Linked DNA regions of Caenorhabditis elegans. The protein of the gene in region 2 interacts with the protein of the main gene of each other region in a pairwise test. Each region holds a gene or a part of one and is shown on either strand. Other genes may lie near its edges. The genes, in order: scrm-8 and R02F2.5.

Region 1 (7,168 bases), on a different chromosome or scaffold from region 2:
GAGAAAACGACGCAGGTGATCGTTATCCTCATGCTTTTGGGTAATAATTACATTTTGGAACAATAAATTATTGATAATGGCCTCATGATGGTTAGCTTTATGTACCCGTGCTGAGACGGTGGCTCCCTGATCGCGTGGTAACGCGTACTCCACCCCAATCTCTAAACACTCACCAACGGCTGTCTCCAAAGTGCACGTCGTACTTCTCGTCCATTTCTTCATTGCAATCGAAACCTCTGGTGTGAAAGTCATCACACGAGCAACACGGTCGACTTCTGAAGCAATTCATCACAGGAGCCCCGAAAATATCCATGCACTGCATAGCAAAGTTGCGGTGGGATCCTTGATGTTGGCGAGCAAAGAAACTGGATCTTTCCATACAATAGAGCAGCGGACGGCAGTACATATCGTGGACCACGTAGCGATTGGGGGTCTCGATTCCGGTGAAGATCTCGAGTGGTTCAAGGCATTGGACAATCATAAGGGAGGTGGTTTGAGCCAGGACGTCGAGTATGGTGTGAGGGGCGAGGTCCACGAATCCCTGGAATAATGTTGGTTTAGATTGAGGATTTTAAATTTCCCGCCAAAAAATTTTCTCAAATGTTTCAAATTTCCCGCCAAAAAATGCTCCAGAAGATGTGATTTTCCCCCAAAATATTTTTCTCAAAAATTTGAATTACCCGCCAAAAAAAATTTGCAGAAATTTTCAATTTTCCGCCAAAAGTTTTCACAATAGCCATTCATCTGATCGGTTTTCAAAAAAGATTAACGATGACGTCACTCGACAGGCCCCGACTACAAGTGGTGACGTCATATGTCCCAGTTTTTGGGTATGACGTCACTAAAAAACAAACAAACAATATGCAATGATAGTACACGGGCTTCTTCCTCGCAGCGATTTTTGCGCTCCATCGACAATCGCCACGGACTGCAGGTGGGGAAAAACCTGTACTCCACATCAAAGAACCGCGACGCGACACGCAACGCGACACGCAACGCGATACGCAACGCGATACGCAACGCGACACGCAACGCGACACACAACGCGACACGCAACGCGAGACGCACCGCGACACGCAACGCGACACGCAACGCGACACGCAACGCGACACGCAACGCGACACGCAACGCGACACGCAACGCGACACGCAACGCGACACGCAACGCGACACGCAACGCGACACGCAACGCGACACGCAACGCGACACGCAACGCGACACGCATCGCGACACGCAACGCGACACGCAACGCGACACGCAACGCGACACGCAACGCGACACGCGACGCGACACGCAACGCGACACGCAACGCGACATGCAACGCGACACGCGACGCGACACTCGACGCGACACGCAACGCGACACGCGACGCGACACTCGACGCGACACTCGACGCGACACTCGACGCGACACTCGACGCGACACTCGACGCGACACTCGACTCGACGCGACACGCAACGCGACACGCAACTCGACACGCAACGCGACACGCAACGCGACACGACACGCAACGCGACACGCAACGCGACACGCAACGCGACACGCAACGCGTCGTAAGGTTACTCACCGTCATCTGAACCGGCATTGCTGCGACCATATTCGGCACCTCCATCGGAGTATCCCGTGGCTGTGGAAGTCTCCCGCCGCCACGCATCATTCCAGCTTCCGCTCGGCTCTTCGGTGGCTCCTTTTCGGATTTCTCAGTTGAAGTCGCACAGCTGACTGGCTGCTCTCCGGGTTGTTTATTCATTTTTATTGGTTTCTGGAAAAGTTGGAAGGTTTTGGGGTCCCAGAAAGAAGCGATAGAAAACTCACATTCGATGACGATGAACAATAGTAGGAATGGGAGATTATGTTGGGAGAAGATGTTACGTGAGGGGTGGAAAAGGGGTCACGTTGAAAATTTGAATTTTCATCCAGATTACAAAGCTTTTTTTTTAAATAAAAATCAACTACTTCTTGGGATGTACGGGAAAAATCTAAGCACTTGTGCCCAAAAAACAGAATTATCTTCTGAAAAAAGTGAGCTTGTAATTACAGAAAAGCTAGCTATAAAACTGTGGAGAAAAAACTAGTTTATTCTAGTTTGCAAGTGAAATGGGCTCATAAAAAATTCAAAAGCTGCTATGCATTCCGCCATGCATCCCACCATGATGATGACGATCCTGGTTACGATCCTCAAAGTAGGTGAAGTCGATCAAGAAAACCGAGGTGACGAGCAGAAGCTTCAAGATTGGCGGCATGTCCATTGGAACTGAAATATATCGGAATTCAGATAGAATTCGGATCTTAAGAACTTACAATGAACAATATAGGTGTCCGCATCGGTGAACATCTCCTGCATGAATCCCGGGTAGAGGCGGACGATTTCTCCGACGAGTGCGCCATTGTAGGTCATAACTGGAAATTTCTGAGTACCACCACAGCCAGCACAAACTGGAGATTGGATGAGCAGGGGCTGGTTGCAGCCGGATCCGATGAGCTCGAACTAAAAGAATCTAGGACTAGCAAATGAAAGGTGTTAGGTATAAGAATTCCCTTGTGATAGCTCGGAACAATTTAGATCCCTAGATCATCGACTAACAACCCTACTTTCACAAAATGATCGGCATAGGACGTGGCATTGTGGTTTTATCGGGGTATCATGATGTCCCATATGATCTACAATATTGAGACGCACAGTTTTGGCACACTTTTCTGGGCGGAAAACACCCGCATTTTTTGTAGATCGTACCGGTATGAGACAGCCTGACACCACTTTAGGACTGTTCACAATGTATTGTTAAAATGTTTCCTATATTCTCATGCCTCTATAAATGTTAGGGTACTGTAGTTTAATGTAGTACTGTAGTTATTACTGGCGGTGGTTATCGTCCAAAACTCACGTTAGGATTACAGCACTCCCTCTTCATCATCCCAATCTGCTGATCGAGGAACTGGGTGCTCAGGAAATCATCGCATGAGCAGCATGGTCTTCCTCGAAAGCAAGTCATCACCTGGGCTCCGTGCGTATCCATGATCTGCATTCCGAAGTTACGATTGTTTCCGTGGTACTGACGAGCAAAGACGTTTGATCTTTCCATACAATAAAGCAGCGGACGACAGTACATGTCGTGGACCACATAGCGATTTGGAGTCTCGAATCCGGTGAAGATCTCGAGCGGTTCGATGCATTGGACAACCATCAGAGAGTTGGTATGGGCGATTGCGCTGAGGATGTTGTTGCTGGCAAGCTGAACGAAGCCCTGAAAAGTCAGAATTTAGAGCGGTCACCATTAGCTAGAATGACTTACAGTCATCTGAACCGGCATCGCTGCCACCTGATTCGGAATTTTCATTGGCGTCGATCTCGCCGCTGGCAGCTTCGTTCCAGCATTGTTTCTTCTACCGAACCCCGCTCCCTCGGCACGTGGCTCATCCTTCTTTGAATCCTGCTCAACCTCCTCAGGTGACTTCACCGCGGACGTTAAGCTAATTGCTTTCAATGGTAGCTGTCCCGGTTGAATATTCATTTTCTGAAAAAATTATGCGGGTTTTGAGGGAAAACCAAGAGAAATAAGAAAACTCACATAGAAAAGTGTTGGTCACAAGTCGGAAATAAATTAATTTTGAAAATCTGATCTGATTGTACTATGTGGAACTTCACGTCAGATTTAAATTTCTGTTGGAAAAAAATAGGAAATTATCTGCGGAATTGTTGTCTGCTGCACGTGTATTAGTTATCGCAATTTTAACAAGTCATTTGTGCCCAGAAAACGCAATCTTTTGCTGAGAAATTATCAGCTAGTAGGTATAGTAAGAAGAAGCCAGAAAAAACTAGTTTATTCTAGTTTGCAAGTGAATTTGTGAACAGGATCCTTTATAAGTTTAGAAGCTGCTATGCATTCCGCTATGCATTCCGCCGTTACGATGTTGATCCTGGTTACGATCCTCGAAGTAGGTGAAGTCGATCAGGAAAACCGAGGTGACAAGCAGAAGCTTCAAGATTGGCGGCATGTCCATTGGGACTGAAATATTCCAAAATTAAGATAGAAAAGATCAGAAGCTTAGAATAAAATGCTTACAATGAACAATATAGGTGTCCGCATCGGTGAACATCTCCTGCATGAATCCCGGGTAGAGGCGGACAATTTCTCCGACGAGCACACCATTGAAGGTCATCACTGGGAACTTCTGGGTGCCACCACAGCCTGCACAACCTGGAGATTGGATGAGCAGGGGCTGGTTGCAGCCGGATCCGACGAGCTCGAACTGAAAGAAAAGGTTAATAGGATGTGTCTCAAGGAGGATGGGAGATTCAGGTGAAGAGCTAATAAAGCTTCAGCCTATAGGAACGATTGCTCTGATCAGGGGTGTGCGGCAAGTTTGGCGAATTTGGCGAATTTGCCGCGTTAAAAATTCAGTAGTTTTGGTGCTTCAAAAAACATCAAATTTTTCGGAGTTAGTTGAGCTCGGCAAATTTGCCGAGTTTGCCCTTGTACAAGGTGTCATGCTAGTCCCGATGTTGCCGTTCAGCGGTATATAGATATAGATCTATAGATCTACGTATAGTGCAATTGTATAGTGCAATTTATATCTGTAACTTGGTACATTGGTGACGTACGGTCCTTCCGCCTTGCTCTGTGTTTCTCTCTTTTAGTGTGTCAATGCCTAGCCGCTGGGCGGCAGAGCAAAGGCGTGAAACCTGTACGTCTATGTACCAAGTAATAGGCTTTCTAGATAAACATCTTAATACTGAAAGACATTTGGACAGTCTAGTAACCTATAGTCTATATCTATGTCAGTACAAACTTGGCACATTGCAACCTACAGTCCTTCCGCTTTGCTCTCTTTTGTGTATCAATGTCTTGCGGCTGGGCGGCAGAGCAAAGCGGAAAGACTCTAGGTTGCTATGTGCCAAGTTACAGATATATTATAGATCGGACTATAGATAGGGCATCAGGGGTGTGCGGCAAATTTGCCGTTTGCCGAGCACTGCAAGTTTCAAAATTTGCCGCACAGCCCTGGCTCTAAGCTCGATCAAGATTGATGCAAACTCAGATCAGCGAAAAGATCTCTTTTGAGAAAAATGTGATTTTTCCAAAGAATGCTTCAGGGCTCTGGATTACTGTAGTTTTACTTGATACTAGCACTCACATTAGGATTGCAGCACTCCTTCTTCATCATCCCAATCTGCTGATCGAGGAACTGGGTGCTCAGAAAATCATCGGTCGAGCAGCATGGTCTTCCTCTGAAGCACGTCATCACCTGAGCTCCGTGGGTATCCATGATCTGCATTCCGAAGTTACGATCGTTTCCTTCGTACTGACGAGCGAAGATGTTCGATCTTTCCATACAATAAAGCAGCGGGCGGCAGTACATGTCATGGACCACGTAGCGATTCGGAGTTTCGAATCCGGTGAAGATCTCGAGGGGTTTGATGCATTGGACAACCATCACAGAGTTGGTATGGGCAATGGCGCTGAGAATGTTGTTGGCGACAAGTTGGACGAAGCCCTGAAAAGTCAAAAGTTAAAACGATCACTATTAGCTAGAATGACTTACAGTCATCTGAACCGGCATCGCTGCTACCTGGTTCGGAATGACCATTGGCGTAGATCTTGCCTCTGGGAGTCTCTTTCCACCACCTCCACCTCCTCCGAATCCTGCAGCCTTGGCACGTGGCTCTCCTTTCTTCGAATCCTGCTCCGGCTCAACCTCCTCAGGTGACTTGGCCGCAGACGTCAAGCTAAGCGATCTCAATGGTTGCTGTCCCGGTTGTTTGTTCATTTTCTGAAAAAATTTTGCGGGTTTTTTGGGGAACACTGACAGATATAAGAAAACTCACATATCAGATCGTTGTTCACTAGTCGAAAATGAATGAATTTCAATCGAAGGGAGTATTGATTTTATTTGTTGTTTCGAAAATTGAATACGTGGGGAAAAGGGATAGGGCAGAAAGGGCAGAAAGTTCATATTCACGTTTGAACTTATCTAATTTATTTAAAAATTTATTTATTTACCCCGTGGCTCCAAATTTTCTAGAAACTATGAACAAAAACATCCCGCAGCTCTTCCAAAACTTTCTCGAATTCACCGATCTGAATTTTCGGTACTGAACAAAAACTAATAGATTTTCAATGGTTAAGCAGCCAAACTATATATTCGTTTTGTGGATCTTCAGTGAAACACTGAAGATGACTTTGCAGCATGAAACCTGAAACCAGTGGCTCCTGGCAACCAGCACAATAAATTTGGAGCTCGAAATCAGTACTTGAACAAGCAGTGATAACTTGTCAAGCGTTCGCTGAGTCTCAAAGTTATCAACTAGAAGAATGCACATCGACATGTAAATTCTTCCATACAGGATAGTGTGGCAGAATTTTAATTTCTGCAAAATTACTTTGAAACAAATTTTTATCAATCTCCCAGACTAAAAAACTTTTGAAGTGTTATCTGTTGAAATGTGTAAGCTATTGGAATGTTCAAATGTTTATTCAAATGAATTGCAAAACTTGGCATTTAGTCAGCATATGGTGGCCAGTAGTCAATATCGCTGAAAAAAGTTATTTTTCTGATGAACTAGCACTAACATTATCTTACATCGCAGCGTATTGTCTAATTTGGAGTTTGATTGGCGTATTGTCAGAATATGAGTACTCAAGTTTCATGTTGTAGATAGCAGCATCGAGGTTTCCATAGCCTGCTCGAATTGTGCTATTTTTCTGAAATAGCTAACGTATATTCCCTGTTAGTGAGGCATAGGATTACTGGAGCCTGCTCTCGAAATTTATTGTCTTATCAAACAGTTACTGAAGTTATAAAACGGCCACAGTCCCCAGCTTGGGTGTGGCTTAAATTACCGCCCAGTAGGATCACCACCAGGTATTACAAAAACAAACTTCGACCAGAAAACAAAAAAATTTTTGGTCGAACTTTGGACCAAAAAACAAGAAACAAAAAATCGAAATTTTCAAAAAAACCAACAAAAAAAAACTAAAAAAAACAAAAAACAAAAAAAATTTCACGGTTTGATATCAAACGGGACAAAACAGGAATTTTTCATGAAATATTAAAAATTGAACACACGAACGATTGAACAAGGTTTTTTGTTCTCATTTGTTTAATTTTTTGCTGAATCAGTGTTGCAATTTATTTTTTGGTTTTTTTGGTCTCAAAAAACCAAAAAA
Region 2 (6,557 bases):
TGAAGCTTTTCAAGTTGATAATTGAAATGTATGGTGGAAGTCAACTGGAATCATTAGCTGTTCAAGTAGTGTTTTCACGAATTGCTGCCGACGGTTGGACTGAAATGGATCGGGCTCCGGGAACCGAGAAATCTGATGAATCATGGTTTACAGTACTTGTGGAGACGATTGATCTGCTTGATATAGCAATGAAATCGGCGAAGAATTCAGTGCTAAAATCATTCACTGCACTTTTCTGTCAACTTTTTAGCCAAGTTTTGAAGAATTCTCAAAAATTCGTGAGGAATAGTCTGAACGCGGTCGCGTCGCGTACACTTTCGCCTGAAATGGAAACTGAATTTGTGCTCCGCCGTCATAAATTGAGTCAGGATTTGGCAAGATTAGTAGATGCAATGAAGAGGAATGAATCGTATTTTGCAATGGTAAGATTTTGAACATTTTAGAAAAAATTTAATATTCTTGAAAACTCGAAATAAATAAAAAATCAAAAACTGGGAGTTTTTCGATGGTTAAACTATTTTTGAAAAAAATTTTTAAAAAAGTATTTTAATTTGAAAAATTGTTTTTTGAACATCGTCCATTTGTCGATAATTAAAAAAATTTATACGAATTTTAATATTAAAAAAATCGTGAACACTATTTTTTGAGTCGTTTGTCTAATGGGGTTATTCAAGTAATGTAGCAAAATGCATTTAAATACATTTGTGACGTCACAAATGTATTTAAATACATGTTTTTATCTACTTGAATAAGGTTGTGACGTAATTTTTCTACACTTTTTAATTTTCCGACACTACTTGAATAACCCCATAACAAATTACATAAATTTTTTTCTAGTTTTTAAATATTGAAAAAAAAGAAGAAAAATTGTAGAAGTTGGAGAAGAGTTTTAAAAAACATTTAAAATTAAAGTTCTTTTTTGAAAACCCATTTTAAAACGTTTTATCTTTTTTTTCAGGATTGTCAAATTGATAAAAATGAGAACTAGTATTTCTTGAGAAATTTCCCTTTTTTTTAAAGAAGAAAATAGACATTTTAATTTTAAATAATCTGTAATAATCACTATTTCTTCTCGAACTCGATTTTTTTTAAAAATTCTGTCAACTTATTAATTTTCGAAATTAGGGGGAGCTTGTTGAGTATGTTTTGGTAAAAGTTACCAAGAAAAACGACTAAATTGAAATTTTAAAAAAACCTTCAATTATTCTCAAAAACGGTCTAAATTTTTATTCTTCAGCTGACTGCATCAATCATTGGAGACGCAGTATTCTATGGATCAGACAGTCTACTTGCCATGTCAAAACTACATTCACTGGCCGATAAAAATGCATCCGCGTTGCTCGCCACGAATCTTCCAGTTGTTGAGAGAACCCGATACAAGAAGTTCCTTTCTACGATCACGAGGGCTTCGAAGCGAATTTATTAATTGTTTTTTTTGTTATAATATCCATTTTTATGTTGTTGATTGTTCATCTTGTTCTGTTGATTTTTAAGTGTTCAATTAAAAAATTTATTCCAAAAAAACACAAAAGAGTTCAAAAAAGTCAATAGAATCCGCATCCATAACCACCATATCCTCCATACCCGAAATCAAAACCTCCGTATCCATATCCTCCATAAAATCCATTATAATATGGGTCGAACATAACACCACCTCCATAATATGGATAAGGGCTCATGATCACTGGCGGCGGAGCCATGACAACTGGAGCCACCGGAGCAGCACCCATGACCATTGGTTGGGATCCATAGACCACGGGAGCAGCTTGTTGTTGTTGAGGGTAAGCTTGAGCAGGTGCAGCCGGAGTTGCCTGGGGAGCTGCCTGAGGAGCTGGTGTAGGTGCCGGGACTGGGGCTCGCGGAGCAGACTTTCTCTTCTCCACTTCCTTTTCAACCTCTTTCTCCGTTTGGTCGATGCAAGTAAAAAGCTCTGGATCTTCAGGCGTTGGTGATGGCTCCGCAACTCTCTCCGGTGGTTCTGCAATCGTTACTCTCCTATTTTTGGGCTCCACGACTTTCTCAGGAGCTTTCGGTGCTGCTGGAGGTGCGTAGGCCGGTGGAGGTCCCTGTGGGATCCCTTGAGGCTGCTGTCGAGGGTATGCCTGAAAAATCGATATTTTCTTTTATTGATTTTCGGAAAATTATCGATTTTCCCTACCATTTGCTCTGTCGAGGCGTTTGGAGATGGTTGAGTGTGCTGACGATTCTGAAAAGTTGAGGTACAAGGAGGAGTTCTTGAGCTTGACTTCAAGGCGACCTTCGTCTGCCTTGTGTCTATTCAGTTTTTTTTATGGAACCCGGAACAGGGATTATAGGCAGGCACGGTCACCTCATATGAAACTTGGAGACTTACCATTTGGTCCGAGCGTTGGTTGTTCCGTTGATTATTTCTAGCTTTCTTCGATTGACAGCATCCCATTTTTCATCGATATATTTGAGTTCTTTTGATTATAAAGTAAGTTGGGAATAAAATTTTTTAGCGGCAAGTTTGAACATTTGAAAAATAAATCATTTCCAAAAAAATAACTGCAAGGCGTTCACGCAGAAATGGAAGCGGCCGACACTTTCCTTTTTCTAATGCCAGCAGTCGACACTTCCCGTGGATAAATTTTGGTGGATCAATTTGCCAGTTTCGGACCGATTAACTAATTTTTAGAAAACAATCTCAGACTATTTTTATTGCAAAAAAAGGATCAATTATCAATTATTTCTTATCGGAAATATTTTCAAGTCACTTCATCTTCTTCTTACTTTTCATTTGACATCTCGATTAAAACATAAACGGATCACAATAGAATGGATCACCGTAGTACATTCCACCTCCATAACATGGATAAGGATCCACAATGACCACTGGCGGAGGAGCAGCCACTACGACTTGCTGTTGCGGTGGATAGTATGGCTGTTGAGCCCCATACGCAGGAGGCGGTTGTGGCTGGTACGGGAGACCTGGAGACGGTTGTTGACGTTGAGGTTGTGGAGGCTTCTGTCCATTGGGAGGTGGAGCTTGTTGCTGCTGCTGCTGTCGAGGTGGAGGTGGAGGTTGATTCCTATTCTGAGGTTGATTCTGGGCAGGATAGGGGCCTGATTGGGTTCCGGTTTGATTCTGAAAATATAGTTTTTGAGACGAGGAATCTCTAAAAATGAATGCTGTCGAGATTGTAAAAGGTGTGCAAAACTATAGTGACTCTACAGTAACCAGGTAATAAACCTGCGCCAACCGTACCCCTAACAACACGTAGTACTTTGGTTTCAAAAGAGTTCGCAGCGAAAGCTGATGCAAGCTTAAGCGTACAAGTACAGTATTACTACAGTAACACTGTAATTACAACGATGAGCTACCGTAATCTTGCAATAAACCTATGAAACCCGCTACCGTACCACTACAGTAAACCAATCGAAACTTGGTTCTGCAGAGCGTAATCCTACAGTACCTACCATTTGTTGTCCATTTCGATTTGAATTCCTACTATTCTGCTTGTTTTTTGAACCGCAGCATCCCATTTTCTCACGGCTTTCAGAAATGAATTTCTTTGAGTTTGAAATTGATTTTTGGAAAGTTTTACACGTAAATGTTAAACTTTTCGACTTTTTAAATTATTTTTTTCCAGATTTTTATTATTATTATTTAGGCACGAATGAAGTTCAATTTGAGACAGCTAACATTCACGAAAATAGGGGTTAACAAGGAAGGCGCGAAGGCAAACACAGGTAGGCACGAGGGAGTGAGATAGGCGGATAGGCTTGTAGGCTCAAAATGGTGTATGGACCTGAAAATGTTGATAATAACGCTGATAAAAACGTTGATAAAAACGATAGAATTGTACTGTAGTTTTTATTGAATATCATCAATTCGTAGAAATCTCGGTATATCACCAATACATACACATACACCTATATATATAAATGAATAAATAAATGCAGCGGTATGCACACCCGTTCGGTAAGCAATCCAAGTAGTTCATCCGGTATTAAATGTGGGAGAAGGTAGGGTACCATGAAAGAAGCTTAAACTCTCATTCGGAACCCGTCGTTGTTTTCTTCTTCTTCTTCTTGATTATTGTCAGCTCCCTCAGCTTCTGGTTCATCGGGCTCACAAGTTGTCGTTGGTTCCTCAGTTGTTGTAGATGTTGTGGTGGATTCCGTTGTTGTAGTCGGAGCCTCGTAGTTCTTTGGCATGTAGCAGAGCCCTTGGTAGCAGGCTGGAGCATTTGCTGGGCAGTTGGAGCATTTTCCATTGTCACCGGAAGCCCAGGTGAAAGCTGGCATCTGGAATAAGGAGTTCAGTGAAAATTAATATTTAATTTTTGGTAAAATAAGAACTGAGTTCCAATTTTTTAATGAAAATCAGCAATACCAAAAGTTGTCAACTAAGAAAATTGCTCAAATTGAGTTTCAAATCATCTAGCAAATTTGAAGGGGGTCACTTTTGAACAGCTATATCTCCTTGAAAATCATAAGTTTCAAAACAATTTAAAAAAGGGGAAATCTTTTTACAAGAAAAAGTTTATACTGTTATACTGTTTTCTGCGGACTCTAGGTCCTTCTGCAAAAATACGAAAACTTGAAAATATTTAACGAAAATAGAAAACTATTAATTTTGAAACTGTATCATTCAAACGGTTAGAAATGGTTAGAAATGGAAAACATCTTGAAGATGTCCTTATTCAAACGATGACTTGCGGAGCTTGTAAATATTAAATAATTGGCAATTGGCAATTTATTCAAACATTTTTTGACTAACATTTACCAGTTGACAATTTTTGAGAACTCTTACTTTTACAAAGTTAAGGCGTTTGAAGATTTCGAACAAAAATTTAACATTTTCAAACTCGGAACTGCTGGATATCAGCAGAGAACAGTCAGATCAAAACATTGTCAACTAAAATGTTTTTTAAAAATATTTTGAGATCTACAATGTTTAAGTTAGAAATTGTTTGATCTTCCCGCAGTTTCATCAAAATTGAATTTTAAAAGTTGTTAACTGCTACATTTGCCAATAATGCATTTAATAACTCTTACTTTGACCAAGTTACAATTTTTCAATTTTTAACAATTATTTTTTAAACCCTTGCTTTTTAGCGGAGAGTGGTCGGATCAAAATATTGTCAACGGACAAAATGTGATAATTTGTACATTTCACCAATTGACAATTTCAATCAACAACCTTCAGCAAAGCCAAAGGAGACACCAGCCCACAAGAAACCAAATTCACTGCACTCAAATTAGGCGAAAGCAACGGTTAGCAAGAAACTCAAAATAACATAAGTGAGGGAGACAAGGACGTACGAACCGCATAAAGCTGTCCTCTCGCAGTGACGAATACCGTATTTCCCTGTGGATTGTAGTGACAGACGAATACGTTACGATGTCCACGTCCCCAGACACCCTGAACGTCACGGCAACGGGAGAAGCCGCATCCGACGAGATTCGTCTTTGCCCAGACAACCTAAATTAGTTGATTTTATTTAATTTGTACACTTAGAAAAAGGGATTAATAGAACCTGAACATAGTGACCGCAACAGTGTTTATAGGCATGGTTACATCCACATCTTGGATTATGGACCTACAAAAGATTGATGGTAATTATGGAAGATGCAAGGAAAATAGAAAAATATTTGAAATTACCTCGTTGAACCAGATCGAGATAGCGTCAGAATAGTTACTGTACGGCGCCGCCCAGATGTTTTCGCCGACGTTGATGCGTCCACGGGAGTGACGGAAATCACAGGTGTCCGCGTGGCGTTGAGCTGAAGCGGCCAGCTCATCGGACCAGTAGAGCATGTTCATGTCGGAGGCAGGCACCTGGAAGAACCGGAAAATTTAGTGCCGGATCCTTATAGAGCGTGGCTTTAAAAAAATTACCACCAAAGCATAGCATAGTTTAAGTAACACCAGTCACACGGTCATGAACACCAACCTCTCACAGAGATTTTAATACTTGTTCTAAAGTTTCAATTTTTCTCTTATCAAGTCTACGTGCCCGTGATCAGAATACAAAGATCTTTTCCTTTTTTCTAATAAATATTATCAAATAGAATAATTAGGAGAAGAACGAGATTGTCTAGAAGGTTATTGATAGCGAATATTTTTCAAAAATTCTCGCGTAAACATTTGAACTTTCACGTCCATGCGCCCCAATATTGGTGGCCTAGAAATTTCAAGTGGAAGAAGGAGTGACGTCATACATCAAAAACTTTGTGTTGTTATACATCTCAATAACTGTATTTGGAAAATGGGATAACGGCGTGATAACTTCATACATTTAAACTTCAGTCAAATATGTCTGAACCCCTATTAGATATAGAACTTCCTTAATCTGTTTCCAATTACAAGGTAAGATTTTATCTAGATGTATATACTATTTCAAAATCTTGATATTCCTCATTTTCTCCATGACTAATTCGAAAAATGACTCATCACTTACCATACGCCTATACCGATTATGCTCGTGAGTAATCCATTTTTTGAGATATTCATTCGGATGTTCGGATCTTGAAAGAAGACCACTGTCACTTTGGAAATGTGACGGGAAGAAATAGCCACGCTTTTCCCG

What was found.
Region 1: the proteins of R02F2.5 (region 2) and scrm-8 interact in a two-hybrid assay, tested with the Caenorhabditis elegans proteins (2 studies listed by BioGRID).

What each region holds. Positions count from the first base shown.
Region 1 is NC_003282.8:4,161,122-4,168,289, reverse strand, and holds scrm-8 (Phospholipid scramblase), read right to left. Parts: upstream 3,599-7,168; 5' UTR 3,569-3,598; intron 3,515-3,568; 5' UTR 3,512-3,514; coding exon 3,293-3,511; intron 3,245-3,292; coding exon 2,885-3,244; intron 2,488-2,884; coding exon 2,301-2,487; intron 2,254-2,300; coding exon 2,114-2,253; 3' UTR 2,060-2,113; downstream 1-2,059. Other genes in the region: scrm-5 (Phospholipid scramblase), read right to left, coding at 3,867-4,006, 4,064-4,250, 5,136-5,495, 5,544-5,768.
Region 2 is NC_003281.10:5,475,266-5,481,822, reverse strand, and holds R02F2.5 (Prion-like-(Q/N-rich)-domain-bearing protein), read right to left. Parts: upstream 2,506-6,557; 5' UTR 2,420-2,505; coding exon 2,354-2,419; intron 2,207-2,353; coding exon 2,159-2,206; intron 2,103-2,158; coding exon 1,545-2,102; 3' UTR 1,495-1,544; downstream 1-1,494. Other genes in the region: R02F2.7 (Myb-binding protein 1A-like protein), read left to right, coding at 1-422, 1,238-1,426; R02F2.6 (uncharacterized protein), read left to right, coding at 2,899-3,141; R02F2.10 (Prion-like-(Q/N-rich)-domain-bearing protein), read right to left, coding at 2,771-3,106, 3,439-3,504; Protein lon-1, read right to left, coding at 4,009-4,269, 5,294-5,449, 5,505-5,567, 5,630-5,806, 6,429-6,557.